Linked DNA regions of Callithrix jacchus. The protein of the gene in region 7 interacts with the protein of the main gene of each other region in a pairwise test. Links are inferred from orthologs where the notes say so. Each region holds a gene or a part of one and is shown on either strand. Other genes may lie near its edges.

Region 1 (3,500 bases), on a different chromosome or scaffold from region 7:
ATGATCCCACTTGTGAATAACCGCTGCACACCAGCCAGGGCAACATAGTGAGACCTCACCCTATAAAAATAAATAAATACATACTGTGGGAAACCAGTGGAGGGTTTTACATATGTAAGAGACAACTGTAGAGTGATCTTTCAGGAGAAAGAAAAGAGGCAGAAACATAGACTGCTTTAGAAGGCTCTTGTTGTGGTTTAAGGGTGAAACGATTATGCGTTGGCCTTCAGTGGTACCAAAGAAGATAAAGGAAAGTGGGCAGAACTGAGAAAGAATGACGAAAATTTGGAAATATGGTTGGGAGGATGAGGCTTTAAGAGAAAGATGACACCCAGTTTCCTGGCTTGTGCAACTGAGTAGGTGGATGTGCCATTTATAGAGATGGGAAGGTTGGGAGGGGAGCATGTTTGTTGGGGAAGGGGAAGATCAAGAGTTCAGGGCAGGTTTTACGGAGAAGGTAATCCTTAAAGTGGGTCAGACATAAGATGTTGTTGTAAAAAGGTAAATGCCAGATCAAGATGAGTAATACAGATAGAAGGTGCCCTGAGCTAAGCAGAAGAGATCAGCAGTTAGGAAGGGTAGGGAAGGTTTCTTGGAAGACACGGGACATAAACTTGCCTGTGTAGATTGGATGGCACTTGGATTAGTGCAGGAAAAATATTCCAAGTATAGAAATCATATAAATAAAAATATCAAGATAGATCATGTCCTGTGAGTGATCTAGACATACTGCATAAGAATGAAGTAGACTTGAGAAGGTTGAATTAGAAATGAGAGGGAGAAATAGGAGTCAGATTTATTAGGATTTCTAACATAGAAGTTGGCATTTTAGAATAGTTAATCTGGTATTTGTGTGTTGAATTAATTGAAATCAAGTAGATTGATTTTTAATTTTATGTTTTATGTATTGGTGTCAAAATAGAAATAAGGACTTGGATTGGACTTACAAATCCAATGGGAATGAAAAAAAATGAACAAGTGACTTTATTGGGTTGGGGGAGGAAAAAGCATAGTTAATATTCAAGAACTTGAAACTTGATAACTGGGAAGATGATTTTGTCAGAAGTAAGAAAGTGGGGAATGGGGCTGATAAGGGTTGGAATCAGAAGTTTTTAATTTTAAATATGTTAAAGAGGAGTTTCCAGTGGGGTGAAATGTCTCATGAAGAACATTGAATCAGAGCAGACAAAGCATATCTGTGACTTCACTGTTCATGTTTCCTTTTTTAAAAACCATCTTGAGCAAAAAGGAATCAGGTTCTGCATAAACCCTCAGATTGAGAGATACCAGTACTCAATAGCTCTGACAAAACAGAGAAACTGGTTGTTTTTGATCCTTTATTTTGTGTATCTTGTAGTACTTATTTTTCCTTAATTTTATTATCCTGCCAACGTAATGTTAAGTGAATTTTCCATACTTTAAAGATAATTCCTTTGATCACTTTTATGAGATTGTGCCATTTGTTCTTTTTTTCTTCATGAGTCTTGCCTCCTTGCTCTGTCCCTCCAACTTTCTACCCCTTGTAAAGTCTCTTTCAAGCAAGTCTGGTGGAAAGACACTTTTACTTTGAAAGTCTGATAAATACTGTTATCCAGTCAAAAACTTTGGCTTTTAGTCGTGCATTCTTTTGATGTCCCGATCTTTTGAGATGTTGCAACCTCTGGACTATTTGCTGACCAGATGGATGACTGTCCTTAAATGTTCAGTCATGTTCTGTTTGGCTGCCCTGTTTTAAAGAAAAATGCTTGGAGGGTGGGGACTTTCTCCTATAAAGAGCTGATGCATTGGCTACTTTCAATTTCTTTGTCTTAGCATCTTCTTGCTACCTCCCACAGGGATCCTTATGGCTTTGGAGACAGTCGAGATTCAAGGCGTGATCGATCCCCAATTCGGGGAAGTCCAAGGAGAGAGTCCAGGGATGGCAGAAATGGCCGGGATGCCCGGGACAGCAGAGACATTCGAGACCCCCGAGACTTGCGGGACCACAGACATAGAGACTTGCGGGATCACAGAGACAGCAGGAGTGTGCGCGGCGATGTTCGGGACATGAGGGATCTTAGAGACTTTCGTGATCTAAGAGACTCTAGGGATTTTCGAGATCAGCGAGACCCCATGTACGACAGATACAGAGACATGAGAGACTCCCGAGATCCGGTGTACAGGTACATATGTAGTTACTCTGCTTGTTTTTTTTTAAGTTCTTTTTATGTATGTTCTACTAAACCAATGGAAAGCTCTGTAAGAGCAGTAATTTTATCAGCCTTATATTTCTAGTGTCTGTTGAGTGGTAGATGTGCTGCTGCTCAATAAATTTAGCTGAATATATGAATGATTTTTAAAATTTTTAACAGAAAATAACTAGTGTTGACAAGGTATGGAGAAATTGAAACCCTCAGAAATTGCAGGTAGGAATGCAAATTGGTATAGCCACCATGGAAAACAGTTTGGGAGTTCCTTAAAAAGTTAAACATAGAATTAACTATATGATCTATCAGTTCCATCCCTGAGTATACACTCAAAAGACTTGAAAAGAGGGACTCAGATAGTTTTACATGAATACGCATAGCAGTACTATTCACAATAACCAAAAGGTAAAAACAATCCAGATGTCTGTCGGCAGATTAATAGATTTTTTTTTTTTTGAGACAAGGTCTTACTTGTTTCCCAGTCTGGAGTGCAGTGGCATGATCACAGATCACTGCAGCCTTGACCTCCCAGGCTTAAGTAATCCTCCCTCCTCAGTCTCCCAAGTAGCTGGGACTATAGCCATATGCCACCACACCTGGCTAATTTTTTTATATAGAGGTGGAGTCTCACTCTGTTGCCCAGGCTGGTCTTGAACTCTTGAGCTAAGTGCTGAGACTACAGGTGTAAGCCACTGCACCCAATGTGGATTTTTTTTTAAGTCGTATGTATATACAATGTGCTATCATTCAGCCTTAAAAAGGAATAAAGTTCTGATCTGTGTTACAGCATGAAGGACGTTGAAAACATGCTAAGTGAAATAAGCCAGACACAAAGACAAATATTGTATGAATTCGCTTACACGAGTTCATATTATATTGTATGATTTATGTTATATGATTTCACTTATATGAAATATCAAGAATAGGCAAATTTATAGAGACAGAAAGTAGATTTAAAGATTACCAGTGGCTGGGGAGAGGGGAGTTATTTGACGAATACAGAATTTCTGTTTGAAGTGAATTTTAGAAATAGATAATGGTGATGGTTGCACAACATTGTGAATATGATGCCACTGAGTTGTATACTTAAAAATTGTGAGGCCAGGCGCAATGGCTCATGCCTGTAATCCCAGCACTTTGGGAGGCTGAGGTGGGTGGATTGCCTGAACTCAGGAGTTCAAGACCAGCCTAGGCAACATGGTGAAACCCCATCTCTAGTAGTAGTAGTAGTAGTAGTAATAATAATAATAATAAATATTGTTAAAATGGCAAATTATTGTTATATACATTTTAGTATATATATATATATTTTTT
Region 2 (3,500 bases), on a different chromosome or scaffold from region 7:
GGACCTGATGAAGCGAAGATCAAGGTAAAACTTGACTTGGGTAGTTGCAATGAAATTACATTTAATGATGAGGTCAAATGCTTCTTTTCATGTTTCCCAGAGAGTTTCACTTTTAAAAATTAGTGTTTAGAAATGAAATAATTTAGAGAAATTACATAAGAAGGATAATTTTGGGGGTCAACACTCAATTGTATGTTTAACGAAAAGCCCTAATTCATATTCTCCCTCATTCATGGCCATGAATGATGTAGAGACAGACTCTTGCTCTGTTGTCCAGGCTGGAGTACAGTGACGTGATTTCAGCTCACTGCAACCTCTGCCTCCCGGGTTCAAGCAATTCTCTTGCCTCAGCCTCCTAAGTAGCTGGGATTACAGGTGCATGTGAGTGTGCTTGGCTGATGTTTGTATTTTTAGTAGAGATGGGGTTTCACCATGTTGACCAGGCTGGTCTTGAACTCCTGACCTCAGGGGATCCATCTGCCTAAGCCTCCCAAAGTGCTGGGATTACAGGCATGAGCCACCATGCCTGGCCTGAACAACGTACGTTTATTGATGATTCTGCTGGTAGTTTCTTGGATTGATCCAATAATGTCTCTTGGTTCAGTTATTTTCCAGGCACTTTGTTTCTTTTCTCTTGATAAAAAGATGTTGTTATAACTGCTTTCCTCCTTTTGAATTTTCAGTTACTTCAGTTTATTTGTAAAATGGGAAGAGTAATAGTAACTACCTCACAGAGTTATTTAAGGATTAAATGACTTAACATATATAAAGCACTTAGAATAATGCCTGGAATATAGTAAGAACTATTTAACCATGAGCCATTATTATTACCATTTTGTTACTTAGATAAACAGCTTTGAAAGGTAAATATACGCTTTTAGTGAAAGACCAGTAAACCTGATTCCTTATAATGGATACTCTGTCTTACTGTAGTGATGTACTTTTGTTTTGTTTTGTTTTTGAGACAGAGTCTTGCTCTGTTGCCCAGGCTGGAGTGCAGTAGTGCGATCTCAGCTCACTGTAACCTCTGTCTCCTGGGTTCAAGCGATTCTTCTGTCTCCCTCTCCTGAATAGCTGGGACTACAGGCATGCACCACCATACCCAGCTAATTTTCTTTTTATCTTTTGGTAGAGACGGGGTTTCACCGTGTTGGCCAGGCTGGTCTCGATCTTTTGACCTCAGGGAATCTGCCGACCTCAGTCTCCCAAAGTGCTGGGATTACAGGTGTGAGCCACTATGCCTGGTCTGTGATAGACTTTTTAATTTGAAATAGATATTTTATGTTGAAGTTATTTCTATTATTATTACATTGTAATATGTAATGAAATAATTATACAACTCACCATAATGTAGAATCAGTGGGAGCCCTGAGCTTGTTTTCCAGCAACTAAATTGTCCCATCTGGGTGTACTGGGAAATAGTGACAGATCTTAAGGCATTATATTCTCATAAGGAGCCTGCAACCTAGATCCTTCGTATGTGCAGTTCACGATAGGGTTCACGCTCCTATGAGAATCTAATTCGGCCGCTGATCTGACAGGAGGTGGAGCTCACAGCTCAGGCAGTAATGCCAAAAATAGAGAGGAGGAGGAGCAGCTGTAAATATAGATACAGCTGCTATGCAGCCCAGGCCACTACTTATCCATGGCCTAGGGGTTGGGGGAGCCCTGTTTTCTATTGCATTTATTTCTATGTTTAAAAGTAGAGAGCTCTGTTTCAGTTGAAAGTGGAGGAATGGAAGGCCGAAGACATGCATCCCTGTGGAACCCTAGTTCATTGAACTTGATGATATCTAAAGTCTCTTGTAGTTCTGACATTGTCTAATTTAAAAAACCTGAATTGTAAAATTCTCTCTTTTCTACATAGATTGCATTTCTTTGTTTGCCATTGTGTGTTTTGTTCTGTAGGCTCTTTATGTAAATGTTGCCTCAATTATAACATAAGCTCCTTGAGAGCAAAGACTTTATCTTCTTTTCTTTGATTCCTCTTAATGCCTAATAGAATGTAAGGAAGGTTGGTAATCAGGAAACACAAGATTTTACATATTTTTTGAAACTTGACTAATTTGGTAATTGCCAAATGTTTTTAGTCTGTACTGTGTGATTCTTGTCTGATTGTCTGATTCTTGTGGTGCTTATGATATGGCAGGAGTATAAAACAAAAGGATCAAACAAAGCTTCAATTATGGGACCTTGAGTACACTAGAAAGACAGTGGGGGCTGGTCGCGGTGGCTCACACCTGTAATCCCAGCACTTTCGGAGGCCAAGACAGGCAGATTACTTGAGGCCAGGAATTCCTGACCAGCCTAGCCAACATGGTGAAACCCTGTCTCTACTAAAAAGAAGAAAAATTAGCCGGGCGTGGTGGACATGCCTATAATCCCAGCTACTTGGGAGGCTGAGGCAGGAGAATCGCTTGAACCGGGAGGCATAGGCTGCAGTGAGCTGAAATGATGCCATTGCATACTCTAGCCTGGGTAACAGAGCAGGATTCCATCTTAGGGAAAAAAAAAAAAAAGAAATTAGGAAGAGAGGGATGTGAGTAATAGTAAACAAGAGAAGCTGCATGAAGGAGGTAAGACTTATGCTAATTTTTTGAGGATAGAGAACATTTTATTTGAAAAGACTCGCTGGTAGAAACATGTATGGGGAACTAGTGTGAATTTTGACTTTTTTTTTTTTTAACCTAATCATAAAAATATATTTCCTAGGAAGTTGGAGTACTTTGGAAAAGATTAATACATTGATGCTTGTGTTTGAAATTTAGTATTCAAGTATAAAGAGATGTATAATTATCTCTAGGCCTTGCTTGAGAGAACTGGTTATACTCTGGATGTAACCACGGGACAGAGGAAGTATGGTGGTCCTCCACCAGACAGTGTGTACTCTGGCATGCAACCGGGAATTGGAACAGAGGTAAGTGTTCTTTAGCTGTTTGCCAAGATCTTTCCAGGTTGAAAAGTGTTTTGTCTACTATGTAGATACTGTACAGAGGGGGAAAATACTTGATCCCTTTCAAACTGTACCTGCTATTATTTTTTAGATATCCATGTGTATGGATGGGAGTTTTGCTGCCATTATGAGCATGGATAATGTTGTGACTAGTAGATATCCACACACTTTATATCAGAATATAATATAGAGTTCTTGGAACGGGTTGCTAAAACCATGCTACTAGCAACACATCATTTTATATATTTGGAGTAAAATTATTTGGAAGATTGAGTTGCTTTATTCTGTTTTTTTTTCCTGCCCCTGAGATGGAGTTTCACTCTTGTTGCCCAGGCTGGAGGGCAGTGGCGCGATCTCAGCTCATTGCAGCCTCCACTTCCGGGGTTCAAGTGATTCTCTTGCCTCAGCCTCCCCAGTAGCTGGGATTACAGGTGTGTGCCACTACACCTGGCTAATTTTGTATTTTTAGTAGGGATGGGGTTTCACCATGTTGGTCAGGCTGGTCTTGAACTCCTGACCTCAAGTAATCCACCCGCCTTGGCCTCCC
Region 3 (3,430 bases), on a different chromosome or scaffold from region 7:
GGCGTCTGTAATTACTCCCCTCGGGCAAAGTTACTGCTATGCAGGAGGAACCCGAGAGTGAGCACGGGGCAGGAATCCCCCCATTCTCTTAGGAGTCGGGTAGGGAGGGGCCAGCCTCAGGGACCCCCGCAGCTGCCGGAGTCCCGGGATTAGGGCATGTGGCTTTGCGGAAAAGTTCCCTGAGTTCCCACGCACTCCCGACACGCTAAGTGAAGTGCCAATCTTGGGGCGATTTGAGAAGCCTCGAGACGCACAAACGCCCGTCGGACCCGAGAACCCCAGGAGACGCCGTGGGCCGGCCCGGGACTGCGGGGCTCCTCCCGGGCTGCAGCTCCGGTGCTCCGGGGCGAGAACCTCCCCACAGCACCCACCCCCAGATGACCTCTAGGCCGCGAAGACGGCGGGGATGACCGAGTTCCTGCGAAACCCCCCGGACCCGTCACTCAGCTTCTCCCCTCCTTCCCTCCAAAACTGAGAACACACAGCCCAGGTCGGTCCTTCCTCATCCGTTTATTGGAGTCAGGGGAGGAACTGCAGGAGGGTGAAGGACAGGGGAGGGGACACAGCCGGTCCTGGCGGTCGCGGAGGCGGCGCTCAGCGGTACTTCTCGGTCAGGACAGAGGATACGACCGACAGGAACTTGTCCCAGGCGGCGTGGGCCTCGGCGGTGAAGTCGGCGGGGAAGCGCGCGGCCAGGGTGACCAGCAGACAGTGGGACAGGAGCTGGGGGCGGGGCCGCTCTGTGAGGGGTGGGGCCTGGAGCGGGCCCCGCCCCAAACCCCGCCTCCATCCAGCCCCGCCCCGCCCCGCCCCAGCCCCGCCCCGCCCCGCCCCGCGCACCTTGAAGTTGACCGGGTCCACGCGCAGGATGTAGGCGTGCAGCTCGCTCAGCTTGGACAGGGCGGCCCCGATGTTGTCGATGCTCTTCGCCGCGTCGCCCACGGCGGCCACCACCTTGGAGCCGTGCGCGCGCAGCTGCGCCGACCCCGGGTGCAGGTCGAAGTGCGGGAAGTAGGTCTTGGTCTGCGGGTAGCTGAGGAAGAGCCTGGCGCGCGGGGCGGGCGTCGTGAGTTCCCGGCAGCGCCGCCTCCCGCCACGGCCCACGCGCCCTGCGGCCCTCTCCGAGCTCCAGGACCCGACGGCGACCTCGCAGCAGGCCCCAGCCCCTCCTCGCGGTGCCCACGTGCCCAGGCAGCTGCCCCTCCGAGGCTGCCCTGAGCCGGAGACCCCGAGGCCGCTGCGGCTCCCGGCTGGTCGCTGCTTCCCACGGGTTCTGTGCGGCCTGGTCCCCAAATCCACCGCCCTCCGCCTGGTGGGGCCTCCGGCGCTCCACCCTCTCCTCTGGTCACAGGGCCTCCTTGCCAGTCCTGGACCGGGTCACCCGCCACCCCTTCTGCAGGCTCCTGACCTCCCAGCAGTGTTCCAGGGAAGGAAAAGCTCCCTGGCCCCTCCCAGGGGTTCAGATGCTGGGACTTTAGAGGCTGTACCTAGAGTGAGATTTTTCACCCTCGGCTCCTCAGAACCTGGGCCTGTGCCCCAGGCCTCAGCCAGCCCAGATGCCTGTGCGATTCCTAATCGTACCGTCTTCACCCTGCTCTCCTCACTGACAGGGAAGGCTATCTGTCCCACTGTCCCCTCCCCGATGTCCCTTCCTCACTGTCCCCTCTGCACTGTCCCCTCCCCACTATTCCCTCCCCAAGTCCCCCCCAGGGTCCCCTCCTCACTGCCCCACTCACAGGCCTGGCCTCCCTCTGGTCCCTCTTGGCAGTCCCCTGTGTGACACTCACCTCTCCAGAGTCTCGGTGCCGATGGTGTCGGCCTGCGTGGAGATCTTGGCCCACATGGACACAATGATGGTCCTCTCAGTCTTGGTCAGAGACATGGCGGCAGGGTGGGCGGCTGCACTGCTGTCGGGCCTGCTCAGGACTGGCCTTGGTGGTGCTCAGCCCCCGGGTCCCCTTATATGCAGGGAGCTGGGCCCAGCCAGGCTGTGGCCATTGGTCAGGTGAGGGGAGGGGGCTGCAGGGGTGGGGTTTCTTATCAGATGGAGTGACAAAGGGCCCCTCAGGGCTCGGTGGGACTGGGTTTTGGGGGCTATCATTCCTGCTCCTCTCCTGTGGCCTTAGAGGGGGTGTTGGGCAGAGTCTGACCAGACTCTAGGAGAGATAGGGGCCCCACCCTCCCAGGAGGTCAGTCCTGCATTTGCAGTCCAGTCCTGCACCGTCCTTATCCATTTCAGAATGACCACTTGGGGGAGACCAGAGGAGCAGGGCTCAGCAAGCAGCCTCCTGGGAACGTGCCTGTGGTTTGCTAACATGTTCCTCAAGCAGCCCTGCCCAGCCACACGGCAGTCCGTCCCCTTCCCCTCTGTCTCTGTGATTCCTGGGTTTCCTCCAAGAAAGCAAGAGTTCCGTCCACCTGGCCCTGAGGGGAGATGTACTGAGTCTATCCCCTGACCAGCAGGCGGAGGCAGCAGGTCCAGGGAGAAAGTTGAATGCATCTAGTATCATGTGCTAATAGGGAGTGCGATATTGCTTTCCACATTAGTTATGGGAATGTAATGAGGCAAATATTCCTTCTAATTTTTTTTAGATAGAATCTTGCTTTGTTGCCCAGGCTGGAGTGCAATGGCACAATCTCAGCTCACTGAAACCTCTGACTCCCTGTTTCAAGCCATTCTTCCACCTCAGCCTCCCGAGTAGCTGGGATTACATTGCCTGCCACTGTACCCGGCTATTTTTTGTATTTTTAATAGAGACAGGGTTTCACCATCTTGGCCAGGCTGGTCTTGAACTTCTGACCTCGTGATCCACCTGCCTCGGCCTCCCAAAGTGCTGGGATTACAGGCATGAGCCACCACATCCAGCCAGCAAAAGTTTTAATGAAGTCCAGTTTATCAAAAAATGTTAAATGAATCTTACTTAGTGCCATGCCTAGGAACTCTCTGCCTAACCATAGAACTCAAAGATTTTCACCTATGTTTTCTCCTAAAGTTGTGTAGTTTGTGTTTATATTGAGCCATACAATGCATTTTGAGATGATGTTTGCCTAAGGTGTGAAGGGCAGGTCCAGGTTCTTCTCTTTGCTTGTATTTTTACCTACGGATGTCCAATTGCTCTAGAAAACACTGTACTCGATGTTTTACTCGTGTAAGGGAACTCATTCTTCCATGGCTGAGATGTGAGATGATGAGATCGGCAGGGGTTGAGGGCAACAGCAACCTTTGATGCCCTCTGGGCTTAGCTGATGGGAGACTCTCCTTCCAGGCTTCCAGGAAGTCCCTTCCAGCACTGCCCGGTCCTCCTTGCTGGTCCATTTCAACTATTTGTTGAAAAGGTTATACTCTTTCTGTTCAGTTGGCTTCTCACACTTATTATATAAAAAATGAATGGGGCATAGGTTTGTGGGTCAATTTCCAGACTCTATTCTG
Region 4 (3,942 bases), on a different chromosome or scaffold from region 7:
GGGTTTTCAGATCCCACCCCCTAGCAGACTAGCTCTGACATGCACCTGAGAGCAAGGAAGACCTAGGAGTGGTGTTTGGTAGGTTGGCTGAGTGAGATATGAGGGCAGAGTAGTCTTGCCAGAAAAGGTGAGAGGGTCATGAGAGTGTGACAAATAGGATGACAGAGTGTGACAAACAGGTTCATTCAATGCCGATATCCAAGTCTCACCTACATTATGTGCATGTCTCATTTCAGTTGTCGTAATTGTCTCTATAATTTCCCCCTGAGTAGCGGTCATAACCACCCTGGTTTCTGAAAGAAAAAAACACAGATTTCCAAGACTGCATTAAACACCACTGACATTAATTGTATGCATCACATTTTATAGTATGTACCATAACATATAAACTTTAGATATCAAAAACAGGGTATGTTAAGCATATGTCACATATGCTTAAAGTTTCATGGCATACAATTTATATGTAGTATATTAAATATTACATGTTAAAACAATATAGTTACATAACTAACCCACACAGCACAACTAACATATAGTATACTTTATCATCTTGCAACTGTATGACCACACAATTAACTCAAAATACTTCATATTCATTTTAAGCACACGTTAGTAAAAACAGGGTGTGGTACATATGAACACCCAGGCACTGAGTTCTTAAGGAGACGAAAGCAATAGCAAAACACCCCAACCCCTTGGCTACGCACCTGCCATTATAGTCTCTGGAACTGGAACGTCCATATCCATATCCATACCCTCCAGGTCGACTGTCATAATACCTGCCACTCCCATAGCCCTGGTCCCCACCACCTACAGAAGAAAAAATATTTAAATGGCAGTTATCCACACATAGGCAATTCTCCCTCTCACCCCATGATCAAACTTATCACTGCACTCACCTCTAGAGTAGCTGCGACCACGCCCATGGACCCCAAAGGCACCTCCTCTAGTTCCCCGAGCAGACTTGCCTGCGTGATCCACACGGATCTGACGACCATCCAGAGACTACGTGTGGGAGACACAAGGAGGATGGGTTGACAGTCCATCAGGGCAGTGGTGAGGGAAGAGCAGGCATGGGCAAAGTGGGCAAAAGAACCCAAAAATTCCTGCTGGGCAACAGGTTCTGGGTGGTGCCACATTCCAGAATAAGCTCCTTTACACAAGAATGGATTTATCAGGAGCTACAGAATCCCACATAAAATGACCTGAAAGCACCGTGTTCCCTTTGCTACTACTTACATCTTGACTGAACTCAGGCTGAGTTCTCCTCCCCACTCCTCTAAGCTGCCCCACTATCAGGGTTAGACAGACACCTCTCTTGGTTTGAGGCTTCAGAGTCCATGTCAGAAGACTCACGAGGTCCTCTCCCGGCCAGGCCCACAGGTCTGCAGACTCTACTACCTAAGCCCAAGGCAGGTCAACCATCCACAGGTGGCTTCTCGGCCTCATGCAGGACCAGTCGTCGCCTCCCAGGCGGCCAGGCTCTGTATGCCGCTGCCCTCCACCCCCTAGAACAGAAGGCAGTCATGCTCCTGTGAGTGGACACTGCGGGGCTTGGTGGCCACGCTGCCCCGAGCAGACAGAGGGTAAAAACAGAATGAAGGAAGCTGCAGATGGGGGTAAGGCCCCTCTGCAGATAGGATGCCCCACCTCTCCGTTCATGGCTCTCATGGCAACTGAAGCATGCTCTGGGTTGGTGAAGGTGATGAAACCAAAACCCCTGGACCGCTGAGTCTCCCGGTCCTTGACAACAACCACTGTGAGGAAGAGAAAAATGGAACAATGTGGACGAGTCAGCACCACAAAGGTCAAGTAGCAAAGGGTGGCCTGAAAAGGGAATGGCGGTAGGTAGGGAAAAAGGAGCCCTCCTACCAATTCCAAAGATGTTTTCCTCAGCCTTAGTCGACACTGTAAGTTTAGGGAAAAAAAGAATTTGGAGGCTTGGGGTTCTGCCTTTTCGCTTAATATTCTTTGAAATACAAGGGTCCCAGACTTTCCTCACCAACCCCCGTTGTCAATCTGGCCCATCTCACCCTCAGAGATAGGCCCAAAGCTGCTAAAGTGGTCTTCCAGTGCCTGCTCATCGGTGTTAAAGTTGAGCCCCCCTACGAAAAGCTTTCCTTCTTCAGAGGACATGGCAGCGAGTTCAAGTCCTGTAAGAAGAAGAAGAATGGTGGCAGAAAGGAAGAAAAAATGGAGAAGTGAGAAAACAGCGAAAGGCAGAGAAGCACAGAAAATAGACAAGAAAGAGGAACAAAATATGGATAACTAGAGAGAGGCTGAGAAAGGAGGCCAATAAGGTGGCAATCTGCGGGGCTGGCTCAGCGCCGCCACCATTAGGGAACCACCATCGCGCATCCTCACACAAATTCACAGCCGCCACACCCGTCATTTTGTGCCACTGCGCAAGCCCAGAGCATCCTTGCCTTCCCTCGACGCTGGCGGAACAAGATGGCGGTCGCCACGTGAGGAAAGGAAATCAAGTGTAGGCTGTCGCGTGGTTACTGACACCACTGACGCCACCATGCCCTCCCGGTACGCCTCACACTCAAACGCGGCGCGCCGGCTTTCCACCAACCGAAACGTTTCACCTCCGAGCATGGGACCCCACGCCCCAGAAAAAGCCAAGCCTACGTGTCACTGGCCTTTATTCTCCCTACTCGCTATCCCCTGGTCTCGGGCGGCGCGGCGCATATGTGGCTAGGAGCTGCCATTGCGCAGGACATACGCAGCTTACCTGGAAATTAGAACGTAAAGAAGCCGAACACACAGAGAGGTCGGAAGAGCAGAGAAAACAGAGATGGAGCTGCGCGGGAAGACGACTGATAAAGCGTGCGTAGTGAGGACGTCACAGACCGTTCACCCTGCGCGTTCCGGCGTGCGTGCTGATTGGCTGAGGCCAGAAGGGGCGTGGTGGTAGGGAGAGGAAGGGACGGCAAAGCAAAGGGGGCAATGCTCTCTGCGCGTTTCCGGAAATGGTGTCGACTTTTCCAAAACTGGTGCACCCTAAATGTCAGCATCCACCCCCAACAACCGGCTGAGCGTCTTCATCCCTTCCACACAGAAACCTCACTCTTATACTACCTGCCGTCCCTGACATCGTCCTCCCGTCCTTACCATCATTTCCCCCGCTGGATCTGATGTCTTCCTCACCATCGCAGCTGTTTTGCTCTAGGTCCCTGCCATTCTCTGATGTCAACCTCCTTCATCTTCTAATTCTTTTTTTTTTTTTTTTTTTTGAGACAGAGTCTTGCTCTGTCGCCAGGCTGGAGTGCAGTGGCACGATCTCGGCTCACTGCAACCTCCGCCGCCCCATGCAATTCTCCTGCCTCAGCCTGTAGCTGGGACTACAGGCGCGCGCAACCACGCCCAGCTAATTTTGATGTTTTTAGTAGAGACGGGTTTCACCGTGTTGGGCAGGATGGTCTCGATCTTTTAACCTCGTGATCCGCTCGCCTCAGCCTCCCAACGTGCTGGGATTACAGGCATGAGCCACCATGCCCGGCTCATCTTCTAGTTCCTTAACCTCATATCCTTCAAACGCCCAACATTGTATTCCCCCACCATCACTAATGTCATCACCCTTCACAGTCCATGATGTCAGACCCTACGTTTTCAGGTTTGACCCTAACTCTTATTTTTTCTCCTCTGTGCTCAACATCTAGCCATCTGTCATGGGACCCTTTTCCCTGGCATCATTCCGTCTCATCTCTGACTTCAGTCCTCATCCTTGTCTGACTCCCCCGTGAAGCCAGCCCCTTAATTTTCTCACCAGTAGACTGCCTGAGATGCCTTTTACAAAACAGGATTCTAAGATCTTCAGAGGCAAATCCTAATCCAATTTTTGCTCTCTTCAAAAGTAACTGAGACCTTGATTCACAGAAGGGACTTTCGCAATACACAATAGGCTTATCCCAAGCAAGTGGTGTCTGAGCCCACTGC
Region 5 (2,205 bases), about 32 Mb from region 7:
TTGACTCCCCACCAACCACGACCATATGGGCTAGACCTGGGGCCAAGGCCTCCCCGAATTGGGCCTCTACCCCATGGAGGAGGTGGGAGGCTCAGCAGTGGTGGAATCAATGGTCCCCTTGATCCTGGAGGACCTCTGTGAAAAGCTGGAGAGAGGAAAAAAAAAAAAAAAGGTGACCAATGGGCAGCTTAATCCTAATAAGCCCTGATTTTTAAAAAAATTTTTTATTGAAGAACAGCATACATAAACACACACCAGTTTTAAGTGCACAACCCAATTATCACAAAGTAGACACACTTGACTTTCCGCCACCAAATGATAAGGCCTTATTAGCACCTCAGTAGATCCTCCCCTTGTGCCCCTTTTCCCACTATCCACCCTCCTCCCCAAAGGTAACCACTATCCTGACAGCATAGGTTAGTTTTTGCCTGTTTTTGAACTTCACAAAAAATGGAATCATACAGTCTGCATTCTTTTATGTCTGGCTCCTTTCGCTCAACATCATGTTTGTGTGATTCATCCAGGTTGCCTGTAGAAGTAGTTCATTCATTTCGCTGCAGTGTAGTATCCCATTGCATGCATACACAACAACTTATTTATCCATTCTACTGCAGATAGACTTGTGGGTGGTATCCAGTTTGGGGCTATAACGAGAAATTCCACTATAAACATTTTTATACATGTTGTTACACATATGTATGCATTTCTGTTGAGTATATATGCAGTAGAGGTATTGCTGGGTCATAGAGTGTACGTTATGCTCAAGTTTCATGCATAATGCCAAACTTTCTTTTTGGAGATGGAGTCTCACTGTGTTGCCCAGGCTGGAGTACAGTGGCATGATCTTGGCTCACTGCAACCCCTGCCTCCCGGGTTCAAGCAATTCTCCTGCCTCGGCCTCCTGAGTAGCTGGAACTACAGGTGCACACTGCCACACCCAGCTAACTTTTTGTATTTTAGTAGAGACGGGGTTTCGCCATGCTGCTCAGGCTTGGTCTCAAACTGCTGAGCTCAGGCAGTCCACCCACCTCGGCCTCACAAAGTGCTAGGATTACAGGCATGAGCCCAAACTTTTTTCCGTAGTGGTTGTACCAATTTGCACTCTCACCAGCAGTTGTCCTTTAGCCTTGACAGCACTTGGTATTGTTTTTTAATTTTTACCATTCTGGTGAGTGTGAAAAGTGGTGTTTTAATTTTTTAAATGAGAGATTGGGTCTTGCCACATTGCCCAGGCTGGTCTTGAACTCCTGGGCTCAAATGATCCTCCCACCTTGGTCTCCCAAAGTGCTAGGATTATAGGTATGAGTCATCATGTCTCATCTTGTTTGCTTTTTATTGTGCTAAAAAACACATAAAATTTACCATCTTACCTGTCTTTAAGTGTATATATAGTTCAGTAGTTACATATATTCATATTGTTGTGAAACAGATCTCCAAAAGTTTTTTATCTTGCAAAACTGAATGAAACTGTTCCCATTAAACAAAACTCCCCTTCTTCCATCTTCCTTCCCCCAGCCTCTAGTAACCACCATTCTGTTTCTTTGAATTTGACTTTATTTTTATAATTTTTTTTGAGACAAAGTCTTGCTCTGCTGCCCAGGCTGGAGTGCAGAGGTGTTATCTCGGCTCACTGCAACCTCCACTTCCCAGGTTTAAGCAATTCTTGTGCCTCAGCCACCTGAGTAGCTGGGATTACAGGCGTGTACCACCATGCTGGGCTAATTTTTGTATTTAGTAGAGATGGGGTTTCCCCATGTTGGCCAGGTTGCTCTCAAACTCCTGACCTTCAGTGATCCGCCTGCCTCGCTCTCTCAAAGTGCTGGGATTACAGGCATGAACCACCATGCCTGGCCCCTGAATTTGACTTCAGACTCCTCACATAAGTGGAATCATACACTATGTCTTTACTTAACATAAAGTCCTCAAAGTTCATCCATGTTGTAGTATATGACAGCATTTTCTTCCATCATAAGGCTGAATAATATTCCATTGTATGTACACACCACATTTTTTTTTCATCATTGGATATGTGGGTTGCTGCTATGAACATGAGTCTGCAAATCTCAAGACCCTGTTTTCCATTTTTTTTTGGATATATATCCAGAAGCAGGAGTTCTGAGTAGTTCTATTTTTAATTGTTTTAGAGGAACATCTTCATATTGTTTTCTATAGTAGGTTTACCATTTTATAATCTCAGCAGCAGTA
Region 6 (3,500 bases), on a different chromosome or scaffold from region 7:
TGGCCACTGTCCGGACTTGCATATAAATTCTATGGATAATAAAGAGGAGGTTTTATTTCAGGTCTGAATAGAATTATCTCCTACTGCAAATCTGAAAGAACCCCCAACTCAAATTACTCAGTATTCTTGCTCCACTTTACTGGTAAAACTTAAGGTGCTGTGGAAATGAGGGTCATTCTACTCTGTATATTTTACCATTGAAAACCTTTAACTGGCCGGGCGCGGTGGCTCACGCCTGTAATCCCAGCACTTTGGGAGGCCGAGGCCGGTGGATCACGAGGTCAAAAGATCGAGACCATCCTGGTCAACATGGTGAAACCCCGTCTCTACTCAAAATACAAAAATTAACTGGGCATGGTGGCGCTACTCAGGATGCTGAGGCAGGAGAATTGCCTGAACCCAGGAGGTGGATGTTGCGGTGAGCTGAGATCGCGCCGTTGCACTCCAGCCTGGGTAACAAGAGAGAAACTCCGTCTCAAAACAAAAAAACAAAAAACAAAAAACAAACAAACAAAAAGAAAACCTTTGACTAAGGTCATGCAAACTCCCTGAACCAGGGAAAAAAGAATAAAATTATTTTTCTGGTGGGTAATTTATCAGAGTTGACCGAGCGCGTTGGCTCACACCTGTAAATCCCAGCACTTCGGGAGGCCGAGGTGGGTGGATCACAAGGTCAAGAGATCGAGACCATCCTGGTCAACATGGTGAAACCCCGTCTCTACTAAAAATACAAAAAATTAGCTGGGCATTGTGGCTCGTACCTGTAGTCCCAGCTACTCAGAAGGCTGAGGCAGGAGAATTGCCTGAACCCAGGAGGCGGAGGTTGCAGTAAGCCGAGATCGCGCCATTGCACTGCAGCCTGGGTAAGAGTTGGGAAACTCAAAAAAAACAAAACAAAACAAAACAAAAAAACAAAAATTTATCAGAGAGTAAAGGATGCTGTGAGATTATCTAAAGCTGAAATAAAGTTTCCGTGTGCTTTTTTTTTTTTTTTTTTTTTGCTTTGTTGCCCAGGCTGGAGTGCAGTGGTGTGATCTCAGCTCACTGCAACCTCTGCCTCTTGGGTTCAAACAATTCTTGTACCTCAGCCACCCTAGTAGCTGGGACTAGAGGCGGTGTGCCACCGTGCTCAGCCAATTTTTTGTATTTTTAGTAGAGATGGGGTTTCACCATGTTGGCCAGAATGCTCTCGAACTCCTGAGCTCAAGTGATCTACCCACTTTGGCCACCCAAGATGCTGGGATTACAGGCGTGAGCCACAGCACCTGGACTTGAAATAAAATTTCTCTGGGGAATAAGCCATTAATCAATGTTAAGGGTTAAGGATCAGAAAACAAACGATTAACACTCATTGGTAACAGAAACAGGCCACAGAGATGGCAAACTCCCTAAAAGAGAAAAACAGTAAAAAGTTACTTATTGGTACCTGCTAAAATTGGAATTCTCTGAACTTCTCTTTCTTTCAGAGAAGTTTCAGCTTTTGCCCTGAGCCACCTTGTAATCATCCATCACGTCCTGACAGCCTCAGTGGACTCCCTGACCGAGATCACCAGCTGCTTCTGGAGCATTATGACCCATTCTCTCACCTGCTTAAGTTTTAATGCTGCCTGGACAGAGGGTCTATTCTCCATCTGCTGGGCCAGTCTTCTGTTTCTGGCACTGGCTAGCTGCTGTTGTTGCTGCATCGAAGCCCGAATATTCACTGGCGTCGGCTGTTTGTTCTTCAGCATATTAGTGAAGCTTCAAGGTCGAACAAAATGGATGTTTAAATAAAAGCTTTATTACAAACATTTATTGGCATTTTCATGGCTTGCTAGACCAGGAGCTTCAGATCCCACGAACTTTTAAGTAAAGTGGTACACTTAGATCAAGGCTGATGTGGGTTAAAGACTCCTCTGTTTCCACAAACTTGCAAGAATCAGAAACTTAGAAATGCAGCTAGGTGCAGCACATTCAACCGAAAGTGATAACAAGGGCTCAGGTAACGGCTTTTAGAGAGGTTGAAGGTATGAAAAACACGCAATAAGCAGATATAATGACAAGAGACAGAAGATGCAGCTTCAAAGACAAACGAAGAAAGCCTAAACCTTAGGGGAATCCAAGGTGCATTCCAAGGCCAAATAGGAGGAAGGACTAGAGCACCTTCAAAGCTCACAGCAATTAACATACTCTCATAAATTACAGGAGTGTATCACATTTTAAAGTATTTATCACATAGAACATACAAACAAAAATAATTAGCTTATCATAGCCGAAGAGTAAGGAGAGAAGTACATATGCTTCAGAAGAGGCAAAAAAATAGACATTAAGTAAATCTCAACGATCTGAAGTCGACTTAATGAAATCACTGGTCAAAGGCATTCTTTTTTTTTTTTTTTTTGAGACAGAGTTTCGCTCTTATTACCCAGGCTGGAGTGCAATGGCACGATCTCAGCTCACCGCAACCTCCACCTCCTGGGTTCAGGCAATTCTCCTGCCTCAGCCTCCTGAGTAGTTGGGATTACAGGCACGCGCCACCATGCCCAGCTAATTTTTGTATTTTTAGTAGAGACGGGGTTTCACCATGTTGACCAGGATGGTCTCGATCTCTTGACCTCGTGATCCACCAGCCTTGACCTCCCAAAGTGCTGGGATTACAGGTGTGAGCCACCGCACCCGGCCCAAAGGCACTCTTAATGAACAAAGTTGTCAGAGATAGAAACTGCCTTTAAATACCTTTACTTTCATTAGTCTCAAATCATCACTTTTTCTGACTCCAAGCAGTTACTTCTGAAAGGTAAACTAGTTCATTTATGAGCCTGTGAAGACACTCCTTATTATTTCTGTCAAGGCAGTGTAATGAAATGGAAGAGAAGAGCACTTAACTGTAAAAGAATCCAAAACAAAAACAAACTAAAAGCAGAATGGAAAAGAAAGTGAAATGAAGCAAAGCAAGTGCCTCTTACAAGGTCCAAGAATGACATTCAAGGGCCTTTGGACATATTCATGGCTTGCTACCTGCCTCTTACAGGCCAGACACAACACTGCTGGCCTTGGACTGGGCAGCAAGCCGACTGTAGCCAGGGTACCATGCTACCGTGCTGCACGACCCCTGTATCAATGTAAAAAAATGTGAAAAGGGAGGGTGTTAGGAGTCTTTTAAAATACATCCCACCAAATAAATATTTCACAGTTTAATATAAAAATCTACTGATAAGGGGTTTTGAAACAACCGCCCAATTTGTTTTGTGTACCACACAAGATGCAACTAAAAACAGAGGTCTGTAGCCTTCTGTTGGTACTTAGCTTACAACTGGCTTTGTGCATTGGACCCCAGGGCCAAGTTAAGTAATGTTTTCTTAGGAAGGAGCTGAAGTTGCTGTTGGCTGCCTCACCGCTCATTTAGAGACATCTTGGTGGTGCTTTTTAGCACAACTTTCGGCGCTGACTGTGCAGCCATCTTCAAATCCCGAGAATCTACAAAGGGCAATAGGTAAAATGAGCAAATCACTATAGTGACC
Region 7 (4,038 bases):
AAGCTCATTGGTTTATATCACTGCCTTTATATATATTAGCTTCCGGAAAATCATTCTGAAGAACTGAATCATCTGTATCATTTTTATTACTCACTCAGGCTTGACACTGTCTGCACAGTACTGACTGAAATGTACTTCAGTATGCACCTTCTTTCTAAACGAATATCTATGTCAGGTTTATTTATAGCCACTGCCTTCAATCAATGCATTCTCAGGTATGAGAAATAAAATCATCTCAATGATACTCTTCTATAGCGATCTGAAACAAAGTATGGACATCTTGGCAAGTGGCCTTTGGAAAGATAACGAAAGAGCTATACCATAAAATATGCATTAACATTATTGAGATTCCAAGAACAATTATCTTACACTCTTTAATAAGCACACATAAAGAGCCCCACGTACAATTAGAGAAGTAATCTAAAACCTATGCATCCTTTTGCATAACTCTTTCTGTACCCCAAGATTATTATAACCTCCTCCATTCTCTTTTCCTCATTCTGATTTCTCTGAAATTTGGGCACCCTCTTTGTTTCTTACTTAGCTTTTCTCTATTTAGGAGCTTTTCCTTCTAATTCTTTACAAAAGCAGGGCATGCTTCCCCCTGCTGGGAAAAAATCAAATTACAAGGTACATTCGAACATGTTCTTAAGTATTGTATCAAGAAATCAAGTTCCTAGGAAAGATAAAATGTTAAGGAACCAAGTGCATAGCCTTCACTGACTGTTTTACCAGCTACATAAATACTTATGCACTCTTTTAAGAGTGTCTTGTATGCCTTTATTCAGCTTGGCAGTCCTCAAGTACAGTAACTCACATTAACAACTGATAAATTAATCTTTGAGCTACCTGTCTCAAATAGAACTCCAATTAGCAGGTCAGAGAAAATGATCAATTTGTAACTTTTTTTTTCACTTTAAAGACATTATCAGTTACATGAAGAAACTTCCAGAAAATACACTGAAGACTATTCAAATATATTAAAGGCTACTGAATACTGATGACTTGCCTTTTAAATCATTTCAAAAACCCTTAAACATGTATTAACTCATTGTTTTCCTATTATTTTTATGTAGTTATCTTCTTAAAGAAATTTTCAAAAGTTCATTTTTATTGACTTACTTTTCCACTTTAATTTCTATTTTTTTATTCAATAACCAAGAAAGTAGTAAGCATAATTGTATTTCAACTTCCCACTTATCTATAAAATCTGCTTTTTCCCTGAAAACAATTTAGTTATTTCACATATTCCATGTTTTGACTATAAATCTCATCCTAATTGTTTAGCACTTAAATATAGAAACATATCTTACACTTCATTATTATAAATAACAATCCATGAATTAAAAATATATAGCTAATGCATATTTGAATCATATACTGAGGAGCAGAATTTATTCTTCCATGGTACAACTAAGTCTCAAAAAAAATATTTTAATACTGAGGAGCTTGGGTAGAGGAATTTATCCCTTTTAGGTTTTTGCTGTAGGTGAGTCCAGAACAACCTTAGCTCCAAAATTACATTGTGAACAATTTGATGATGAAGCAATTCATTATTAATGAAGCATTCATCCAAAAAAATCTGCAGATGTTTTAAAAAGGTATGTGTAAATAACTACAGACATCATAGGTATCTTTAGTAGTTAGATGGAATAATTATAACATAAATGGAGTAATTTGGTTAAGTTCGTATGTCTTTTTTTGTTTTTAAACCTTTGAAAGCAATGCAAAAGACAAGACATATATGTTCCTCTGGGAATGAAATCTCCTTTAACGTTGCAGGTACACAAAAGAAAATGCACACTTGGTAAAACAGTTGATCAATTATGGAGTGTTCCCAGGGACCAATATCTCACAGAGTACCCAATCATCACACTTCAAATAAATGTGTAAGCACTTTAGCCTCTGCTTTCCACATTCAAATATATATAAGAACATGCATAGTTTAATTCTAACACTTTCCATAGGAAAGACTTTGATTAAAGGGTATCAAACACCACTTCCTAAATGAAGCAAAAAAAAAAAAGAAAAGAAAAAAAACCAAAAAACAAACAACAACAATAAAAAAAACAAATGCTTATCTGTAGCTAAGAAGCTCTTAGAACACTACATTTATTACCATTTACTTCCAAACTGCTTTCCCCTCCCTCTGCAAAGTGAAAATGTCCCTGTGGACGGCGTTACACTTCATGGTATCTCTATCTATGATCCTAACAGGTCACATCGCTACTGCCATTAGATCTCCGTAGCTTTGGTCTTCTCCAAATTAAGACGTGGAGAAAGAGCACAGCTGTGCTCCCCAAGAACCAAGAACCGGGTCTGTCCGCCCGAGCTCCGAGAGGAGCATCTTCAGGGGACAGTTTCTGCGAAGGCGGCGACAGGAGTCCCTCCCCAACTTCACTCCCCTTATCAAGCCGCGGGCCAGATGGGCAGCCGGCGGTTAGTGCCCATCGGTGGGGGCAAGTCCTACCTTCTGCCAAAAGGCGCGATGCATGCACAAAAGATGGATCCAGGCTATCTTTCTCTGCCATCAGCTCAGGCAAATATTTCTCCTCTTCCATAGCGCGGACTTCGGACTGTCCCCCGGCGAAGCGCGAGGTTCTGCTCGCTCGGATGCAGGGTCGCGGGGCACAGCCTGGCTCCCGCGCTGCTCCTCCTCCGCGCGGCGGGGGGATCTCTGCGCGTCCTCACTGGCCCATGCACCCAGCGCCTGTGACTCCCGCCGTCGGGCAGCGTGGCCCCGCGCCCACACCTGCCCGTCCCTTCCGTCGTCTCTCGCTCGCGCCGAGCCCCGGCTCACACCAGCGGCCTTAACTGGAGAGGCGGGAACAGGACGTGGCCCACCTCCGCCAGCCACTCATTGGTGGTGGTGCCAGAAGAGGCGGAGCGCTCGCGAGGGCCGCGGGCCTTCATTGGGCCGTGGAGCACGTCGGGTCGCCTGACTGGCATGAGGCAGCTGCAGAGGGGAGGGGAGCTTGGAAGGTGCAAACGCTTTCTTCTCGCAGCCCAAGCCTTCCCTGGCTATTAGGCATGCCCAGTTCTGTGGGGCTCTCTGTGTCTTCATCTAAGGTGCGGAGGAGAGAGAGGGCGGGAAAAGCGCAGGTTAAACAGACAGGCCTGAGTCCAAGTGGACAGGGGAGATGGATATGAGAAGTGAGCCGCCCAGAGGGTGGAAAAGCGCCAGGGAAAGTCTCAGGATGGCAGCTGAGACTTCACCTGCGTCCCTAAGGCACAGGTGTCTGCTTTCCCTCACATAGCTCAGACGCACTCCAGTTGCGCAGGAATCAGCAGCGCACTGGGTCTGGAGATATAATGAAGATTGCATGTGATCTGCAGCTGGTATTTCCGATGACCTACATCTCAGGGACGCAGTAGGATGCTCATTGATAAACAAATAAGGCGTCTCGGAGCAATATTGTACAGAAACATGCTTCCGGTGTACAATCATTGGGATATTGAATTAGTTCTGATAACCTATCCTGGCCTCCTTTCCCCAGACCCTATCTGTGGAAGGGAGGTTGAGAGGGCTGAATTTAAAAACATATATATGTTTAAAAAACGTGTGTGTGTGTGTGTGTGTATGTGTGTGTGTGTGTGTGTATGATCAATTAGTCACTCTTTGTGAAGGAATTAGGAAGGTGTAGAAGAAAGAAGAGACAAGAAAATAGGTAACTATGTTTCCTCTAATTCTCCCGTTTCTCCTCATTTTAGATGTGCCAGTCACTTTCACCAGGTACTGTTGCTGAGCTACTTTGTATTATCTATTACACCTCTATTTAAAGGAAATTTAAACCCTCATGATATCACCAACCGTGGAGGCAAAATCCATCCTCCTCTTACAACGCGGCCATAAAACGTAACTTGAATACCTCAAATGATAGGAAACAATCTTTCCGCAAGTCTTGGGTTCTCTTTTCGTAAGCAGTCATTTTCCCATTCTTCTCTCCCCATTATTTTTGGTGTGATGGAATGAAGGCCAACTTTGCTACAAATAAGATACGCTGACGTTTTTCCAAGTTATCTTATTGTATTTAAATA

Evidence for each region.
Region 1: the proteins of KHDRBS2 (region 7) and NCOA5 interact in a two-hybrid assay, tested with the Homo sapiens proteins (2 studies listed by BioGRID). The two-hybrid records come from large-scale screens. The link is inferred for Callithrix jacchus from reciprocal best matches to the Homo sapiens genes KHDRBS2 and NCOA5.
Region 2: the proteins of KHDRBS2 (region 7) and HNRNPR interact in binary tests that used the Homo sapiens proteins (3 or more experiments, as listed by UniProt). The link is inferred for Callithrix jacchus from reciprocal best matches to the Homo sapiens genes KHDRBS2 and HNRNPR.
Region 3: the proteins of KHDRBS2 (region 7) and HBZ interact in binary tests that used the Homo sapiens proteins (3 or more experiments, as listed by UniProt). The two-hybrid records come from large-scale screens. The link is inferred for Callithrix jacchus from reciprocal best matches to the Homo sapiens genes KHDRBS2 and HBZ.
Region 4: the proteins of KHDRBS2 (region 7) and RBM3 interact in binary tests that used the Homo sapiens proteins (3 or more experiments, as listed by UniProt). The link is inferred for Callithrix jacchus from reciprocal best matches to the Homo sapiens genes KHDRBS2 and RBM3.
Region 5: the proteins of KHDRBS2 (region 7) and PRR3 interact in binary tests that used the Homo sapiens proteins (3 or more experiments, as listed by UniProt). The two-hybrid records come from large-scale screens. The link is inferred for Callithrix jacchus from reciprocal best matches to the Homo sapiens genes KHDRBS2 and PRR3.
Region 6: the proteins of KHDRBS2 (region 7) and CHTOP interact in binary tests that used the Homo sapiens proteins (3 or more experiments, as listed by UniProt). The two-hybrid records come from large-scale screens. The link is inferred for Callithrix jacchus from reciprocal best matches to the Homo sapiens genes KHDRBS2 and CHTOP.

The regions. Positions count from the first base shown.
Region 1 is NC_133506.1:41,307,807-41,311,306, reverse strand, and holds part of NCOA5 (nuclear receptor coactivator 5), read left to right. Parts: intron 1-1,835; coding exon 1,836-2,162; intron 2,163-3,500. UniProt on the Homo sapiens protein: Nuclear receptor coregulator that can have both coactivator and corepressor functions.
Region 2 is NC_133508.1:60,089,410-60,092,909, reverse strand, and holds part of HNRNPR (heterogeneous nuclear ribonucleoprotein R), read left to right. Parts: coding exon 1-24; intron 25-2,803; coding exon 2,804-2,917; intron 2,918-3,500. UniProt on the Homo sapiens protein: Component of ribonucleosomes, which are complexes of at least 20 other different heterogeneous nuclear ribonucleoproteins (hnRNP). hnRNP play an important role in processing of precursor mRNA in the nucleus.
Region 3 is NC_133513.1:2,437,539-2,440,968, reverse strand, and holds HBZ (hemoglobin subunit zeta), read right to left. Parts: upstream 1,935-3,430; 5' UTR 1,883-1,934; coding exon 1,788-1,882; intron 1,046-1,787; coding exon 841-1,045; intron 724-840; coding exon 595-723; 3' UTR 501-594; downstream 1-500. UniProt on the Homo sapiens protein: The zeta chain is an alpha-type chain of mammalian embryonic hemoglobin.
Region 4 is NC_133524.1:49,137,901-49,141,842, reverse strand, and holds the start of RBM3 (RNA-binding protein 3), read right to left. Parts: upstream 2,801-3,942; 5' UTR 2,738-2,800; intron 2,406-2,737; exon of another isoform or gene 2,365-2,405; intron 2,154-2,364; 5' UTR 2,137-2,153; coding exon 2,034-2,136; intron 1,758-2,033; coding exon 1,651-1,757; intron 1,006-1,650; coding exon 900-1,005; intron 811-899; coding exon 708-810; intron 294-707; coding exon 233-293; 3' UTR 210-232; intron 1-209. UniProt on the Homo sapiens protein: Cold-inducible mRNA binding protein that enhances global protein synthesis at both physiological and mild hypothermic temperatures. Reduces the relative abundance of microRNAs, when overexpressed.
Region 5 is NC_133505.1:35,355,642-35,357,846, reverse strand, and holds part of PRR3 (proline-rich protein 3), read right to left. Parts: intron 146-2,205; coding exon 1-145.
Region 6 is NC_133519.1:14,056,570-14,060,069, reverse strand, and holds part of CHTOP (chromatin target of PRMT1 protein), read right to left. Parts: intron 3,457-3,500; 5' UTR 3,440-3,456; coding exon 3,375-3,439; intron 1,741-3,374; coding exon 1,587-1,740; intron 1-1,586. UniProt on the Homo sapiens protein: Plays an important role in the ligand-dependent activation of estrogen receptor target genes. May play a role in the silencing of fetal globin genes.
Region 7 is NC_133505.1:67,513,534-67,517,571, forward strand, and holds the start of KHDRBS2 (KH domain-containing, RNA-binding, signal transduction-associated protein 2), read right to left. Parts: upstream 2,801-4,038; 5' UTR 2,562-2,800; coding exon 2,471-2,561; intron 1-2,470. UniProt on the Homo sapiens protein: RNA-binding protein that plays a role in the regulation of alternative splicing and influences mRNA splice site selection and exon inclusion. Binds both poly(A) and poly(U) homopolymers. Phosphorylation by PTK6 inhibits its RNA-binding ability.